Linked DNA regions of Oryza sativa Japonica Group. The protein of the gene in region 2 binds, or shares a complex with, the protein of the main gene of each other region. Links are inferred from orthologs where the notes say so. Each region holds a gene or a part of one and is shown on either strand. Other genes may lie near its edges.

What was found.
Region 1: the proteins of nAD(P)H-quinone oxidoreductase subunit M, chloroplastic (region 2) and ndhK are in contact, whole or in part, in a cryo-EM structure (PDB 7WFG), measured with the Arabidopsis thaliana proteins. The link is inferred for Oryza sativa Japonica Group from reciprocal best matches to the Arabidopsis thaliana genes NdhM and ndhK. Residues at the interface, in NP_001031804.1 of Arabidopsis thaliana: Trp89, Ser91, Val93, Thr94, Arg95, Ile104, Asp105, Pro106, Glu107, Asp117, Lys118, Leu119, Thr120, Leu121, Ile122, Leu123, Asp124, Thr126, Val130, Trp131, Glu151, Ala153, Pro154, Leu155, Arg161, Gln181, Tyr182, Asn183, Met184, Asp185; in NP_051063.1 of Arabidopsis thaliana: Ser3, Ile4, Lys5, Phe6, Pro7, Met83, Pro87, Val90, Arg91, Tyr101, Val126, Asp127, Lys128, Leu129, Ile130, Pro131, Val132, Asp133, Tyr135, Lys156, Glu160, Arg173, Cys174, Phe175, Thr176, Thr177, Asn178, His179, Lys180, Val183.

The regions. Positions count from the first base shown.
Region 1 is NC_001320.1:47,957-50,742, forward strand, and holds ndhK (NADH dehydrogenase subunit K), read right to left. Parts: upstream 1,291-2,786; coding exon 613-1,290; downstream 1-612. Other genes in the region: ndhJ (NADH dehydrogenase subunit J), read right to left, coding at 36-515; ndhC (NADH dehydrogenase subunit 3), read right to left, coding at 1,344-1,706. UniProt on the Arabidopsis thaliana protein: NDH shuttles electrons from NAD(P)H:plastoquinone, via FMN and iron-sulfur (Fe-S) centers, to quinones in the photosynthetic chain and possibly in a chloroplast respiratory chain.
Region 2 is NC_089038.1:27,480,271-27,483,576, forward strand, and holds nAD(P)H-quinone oxidoreductase subunit M, chloroplastic, read left to right. Parts: upstream 1-1,430; 5' UTR 1,431-1,470; coding exon 1,471-1,956; intron 1,957-2,110; coding exon 2,111-2,287; 3' UTR 2,288-2,651; downstream 2,652-3,306. Other genes in the region: uncharacterized LOC4336529, read left to right, coding at 1-77, 169-405; uncharacterized LOC4336531, read right to left, coding at 2,919-2,996. UniProt on the Arabidopsis thaliana protein: NDH shuttles electrons from NAD(P)H:plastoquinone, via FMN and iron-sulfur (Fe-S) centers, to quinones in the photosynthetic chain and possibly in a chloroplast respiratory chain.

The DNA of each region.
Region 1 (2,786 bases), on a different chromosome or scaffold from region 2:
TTGTGTTGTATAAGTGAGCATGAATTTCTTATCATTCAATGAGCATCTTGTATTTCATAGAAATTGGGGGTTATATAGTCCTTACGTAAGGGCCAGCCTATCCAACTTTCAGGCATTAGGATACGTTTAAGGCGTGGATGATTATCATAAGAGATTCCCACCATATCAAAAGATTCGCGTTCTTGAAAATCGGAACTTCTCCAAATCCAGAAGACAGATGGGATTCTAGGATTATCCTTTTGGGCAAAGACTTTTATGCATACTTCTTCTGGGTTATCTATACCATACTGTATTCTCGTAAGATGATACACGCTAGCTAAAGATCCACCGGGTGCAACGTCATAAGCACATTGGGAACGTAAATAATTGTAACCATATACATATAAAATGACAGCAATGGAATCCCAATCCTCTGCTTTTATTTGCAAAGTCTCTATTCCTCGATGATCGAAGCCCAAAGATCTATGAACCACCTCATGTTTGACTAGCCAATTAGATAACCAACCCTGCTGCATTATCTTGATCTCTCCTCCTTTGTATAAATATTTCGCAGTTCGAATGCAAGTTTGAAATATTGCCCTGCTCTTTCTTTTTCGGCACAAAGAGCTCCTCCTAATTCACTAATTTGTAGGAAGATACTGGACTTTTGGATTTGAAAAAAGTTTCAGAAGATATGTCTAAAGTAGATGGTGATTGATAGAGCAATTCTTGCTCATAAGTTCCAGTATTAGTACTGCGCCGAACATAAAGCTTGTGGCTGGTAGTAAAACATCGATTTTTCTTTTGAGATAGAGTTCGATCCTCAACTATTTCTCGCGATATCTTCTTACGAAGTTTTGTTAGGGCATCTATAACAGCCTCTGGTTTAGGTGGGCAACCCGGCAAGTAGACGTCCACAGGAATTAACTTATCAACTCCCCGAACAGTACTATAGGAATCCGTACTGAACATTCCACCAGTAATAGTACAAGCTCCCATAGCAATGACGTATTTTGGTTCAGGCATTTGCTCATATAATCTCACTAAAGAGGGAGCCATTTTCATTGTTACTGTACCGGCTGTTAAAATTAGGTCCGCTTGCCTAGGACTTGATCTTGGTACCAATCCATAACGATCAAAGTCGAATCGTGAGCCTATTAATGAAGCAAATTCAATGAAACAACAACTGGTACCATATAGAAGGGGCCATAAACTAGAGAGTCTTGACCAATTCGAAAGATCTTTTAGTGTAGTTGAAATAACGGAATTGGAACTTCTTTGGTCAAGTAGGGGAAACTCAATCAAACTCATAACTGTCTTAATGGAATCTTTTCCTTCTTTTTTTTTTTTGTCTGAATATTCAGTTAAGACCATTCCAAGGCTCCTTTTCGCCATGCATAAACTAAACCAACAACTAGGATAAGCACGAAAATGAAAGCTTCGATAAAAACGGATATACCCAATACGTCGAAACTCATTGCCCAAGGGTAGAGAAAGACCGTTTCCACATCAAAAACAACAAAAACTAGCGCAAACATGTAATAGCGTATTCGGAATTGTAACCAAGCCCCCCCCATGGGTTCTATACCCGATTCATAACTAGAAAGCTTCTCTGGTCCTTCACGAACCGGAGCTAAAAGTGCTGAAATCCAAAATGCTAAAATAGGAATAAGGCTTGCTATTATTAGAAATGCCCAAAAAATATCATATTCGTGAAGCAGAAACATAAATGTACTCCCATTAATGTGGAATAGGCGGAACTGAATTAGTCAATTCAAGTCAGCATTGTCAATTTATACAGAATTTCTCTCTTTTCCTCGGTGAAACAAGGATCGGTTTTTCTCAAACCAAAGGCTTAGTTTAGCCTTTGTTTCCTCTTTGCCACGTCTTCTTTAAAGATTCATCCAATGGAATCCCGACCCCCTTTCTTTTTGATTTCCTTTCTATTTAGGTATGGTGGAGACATAATTCTTATAGAAACAAAACTCTCTCGCTTCACTTTGTCTCATTTTCTCTAGAATCTCTAGAAAAAGGAATAAAAACGAAAATACTACGAATTAGAGCCTAATTAAGATAGGATGACTAATGTATGCAGCCTAATGAGGAGTAATTCTATAAAAATAAAGAACTCTATTTCAGAACGTAGATTGATTTAGATTTAGGTAATCTATAGATATAGATAAGCAAAGTAATATACTTCAAACAAAGTAGGAATTTGCAAGATGGAGAACATCTTGCAGTTGATTTGATAGAAATTCATTTTTCTTTTCCTGTCTCTATAATTTTCGATGAATGAGCCTCTGGTAATCCTTTTATCTCTATTTTATGGCGCAGGCGCCTGTCCAGTCTATAAACAAGTACTAATAGGGAAATGAAAACTATACTAAAGGAAACGTAGGATATCTCTCCTAAAATCTAAAAAAGGACATATTAGGGCTATACGGATTCGAACCGTAGACCTTCTCGGTAAAACAGATCAAACGGATTATTATCGAAATGATTCGAACTGTTTCAAAGACCCAACATGCATTTTTTTTGCATTGGGCTCTTTTATCAACTGATAGAAAGATCAGTTAGTCCACCATAGTTTTTCTTTACGGAAAGATAATGAGATGGCTCCCTGCGCTCTGATTGATTATTTGTATTATGATCTATCTAAGAGCAATACCAAAGTGTTTCAAAGGAGGATTACCTTGACTTAGGTCTCGCCGGCCTAAATTAAATCAACCTAAGTGAAATAGAGTCTCTATCGTTCCGCTACAAGAGTTGACTATGAGACTTCATACACCTTAAAGTTCATAGAACGA
Region 2 (3,306 bases):
ACGACGCCGACGGTTGCAGCATCCCGACAAGACCGCTGCCGGCGATCAACCCGATGGGAAACCACGTTTCCTTCCAGGTATCAGTCGCATGCACGCAGGTCGATCAGCTACTGTTATGTTCGAGAGCAGAGTTCGTATTTGTCTTAACTCGATTTGAGCGAATGGCAGTGCTCAGACATGGCGGTCATGAAGGCGAGGCTACGAGCCATGGACCGGGAGTTCGTCGTGAGGAAAGTGTGGGACGGGGAGACGGTGGTGGACCAGCTCTTCTTCCACGACCCCGACGGCAATATGATCGAGGTCTGCAACTGCGAGAACCTCCCCGTGATACCCCTCATCGTTGCATCGACGCCCGGGCTTCCTGAGCTGCTGCCGCCGGCGATGCAGACCAATGTCCATGGCTAGCTCGAGCTACGTTCTTATGTCTCTCCTTTGTACATAAATACATGATTAAATTTCATTCGTTTGAATTGGTTCATTCGTACGTTAGTTGTAAGTATTCTATTTGCTGCACCATGCATACACGTTAGTTGTAGTAATTGATTGCTGCCAAGATTACATTACTGCCCAATATATATATATATATATATGAACAAGTTGTTTATATATAATAAAGTGTTTTAAGTGTTCCAAGTCTCCGGTGTACGACGTACATGTCTCCCAAGTATTTTACTCTGTTCGTCCCATTTTAAGTGTAGCCATGATTTTCCGCGCCTAATTTTAACGGTCCGTCTTATTTAAAAAAAATTAAAAACATAAGTCACGGGTAAAGTGCTATTCATGTTGTATCATCACATAACAACAACAAAAATACTAATTATAAAAAATTTTCAAATAAGACGGATGATCAAAGTTAGACACGGAAATTTATGGTTGCACTTAAAATAGGACGGATGGAGTAATCCTGAACAGACTTTTCCCGCCTGAGAAAGCTTAAAATCACTACAGAGGCTTTTGCTTTGCCTTTCATGTGAAGCGATCATCACAAAGTGAAAAGGAAAAAAAATTACTCTCGTTATTTTAAAGGCCATGGAGTATGCGTATCCTCTGCTTTTGCTGTGCCGAGGAAAAGTGGGTTACTTCTTTAAGTATGAAATCACCGTCACACCACATGGAGTTATAAAAAAACAGTCACATACAAAGTTTTGTCAGAAATGCAACAGTATTTATCCATACCACACGAGAGCGCGTGCTGCTCAGCTCTGTCATGCAATGCAACAGGCCGTGCCAACGTCCACAGCCCAATACATTTGTGTGGTCAATTGGCCCAGAACATGTACGAGTCGCTGAAACCCAGTGCCAGAAATAGCCCTTATCCACACAAGCCACACACAGCCAGTGGCTCCAAGGCGGCACGGCACGGCAGCTTAGCCGCGCGCGCGCAGGCGCAGCAAACCTAAAAAAACCACCACCACCCACGCAACACAAACACAAGCCAAGCCAAAGCCAAGCGAAACAGCTGCGCGCAGCATGGCAACCACGGCGTCCCCGTTCCTGTCCCCGGCCAAGCTGTCGCTCGAGCGCCGGCTCCCGCGCGCGACGTGGACGGCGCGACGAAGCGTCAGGTTCCCGCCGGTGCGAGCCCAAGATCAGCAGCAGCAGGTGAAAGAGGAGGAGGAGGAGGCGGCGGTGGAAAACCTGCCGCCGCCGCCGCAGGAGGAGGAGCAGAGGCGGGAGCGGAAGACGAGGAGGCAGGGGCCGGCGCAGCCGCTGCCGGTGCAGCCGCTGGCGGAGAGCAAGAACATGAGCCGGGAGTACGGCGGGCAGTGGCTGAGTTGCACGACGCGGCACATCCGCATCTACGCCGCGTACATCAACCCGGAGACCAACGCCTTCGACCAGACGCAGATGGACAAGCTCACCCTCCTCCTCGACCCCACCGACGAGTTCGTCTGGACCGACGAGACGTGCCAGAAGGTCTACGACGAGTTCCAGGACCTCGTCGATCACTACGAGGTATACTACGCACCGTAACTCATAGGCAGAATTGGCAATTGCAAATGCAGGGTAGCAGTAGTGTACACCCATGGTCTCTTTCTCCAGGTGGAAATGTTAGTTGTAAGAGCTTAATTGGTAGTACCTGCTTAACTGACCTGGATTGAATTTACAGGGCGCGGAGCTGTCAGAGTACACGCTTCGTTTGATCGGATCTGATCTTGAGCACTTCATCCGCAAACTGCTATACGATGGGGAGATAAAGTACAACATGATGTCTAGAGTCCTCAATTTCAGCATGGGCAAACCAAGGATCAAATTCAACAGCAGCCAGATCCCAGATGTAAAATAGAATGCGTGTTGTACCCTAAAGAGAAAGCATGTAACTATCAATGATTTTCCCGTTCAAAGATGCCCAATGTATATTTTGCTCTTCCAGAAGAGCCATGAGCTAGGGTATTTCCGAACTCAAATCGGGTTCATACAAAAGCAGAACATTCACAGTCGATAATAATTTTGTCGACTCCAACATGGTTACATAAAGAGAAGCTGAGCAAACTGAGGGTATTACCCTGTCGTGAAGACTAAGGAAGGGTCTAGCACTCTAGTTTCATGGCATTTCCGTTCTATGGTTTTTGCTGAGTATTAGCGGTGTGAAAATGTCGATACTTCAGGTAATCCAATCACATTGAAATAACACCACTGCTTTATTGCTTTATGATGGTGAGATCAGGTAGAACATGGAATCCAGCCCTCAAATTCACAGGCAAAACTCAATGTTAAATTATTTGCAAAGAGGATGTGCGCATATTCCAATAGGGAATTATTTCTCGATCATTGGCAATATATTTATTTATCTCATTCCATATAGATACGAGACAATCTCTGCTGATGACATTACGTCACCCTTAAGAGAGTCATTCCCGCAAATAGATGTTTAATGTTTTGGACTTGAGGGTTTGACCAGCTGCAATGTGTAAATCTCAATCGATCAAAGGAATAACCTCGTGGTCTTTAGAAACATCAACCCATGGCCTGAATTGATCTTCATGTGCATTATTCTGCAAAAGAGTGTCATACAATTCAAAAATTGCCAATTACAAAACTGCATCTCAATCTTTTTTTAGAAAAATGCCATCGCTGCATTAAGTACTAATGTCATCATGCTACTTAGGTAGTTGTGTTGTACTAAACTGCAGAGTACAATTCCACGCAGTAAGAAAATAGTACTATTCAGTAATGCTGCAAATAAACTGTTTACGCTGCTACTTATATCAGGCTCACCTAGACTGATCTTAAAATGAACTGTATATTGAGCAGCAAATGAACCATCTATTCCGACTTAGAAAAAAAACATCTATAAGTTATCGA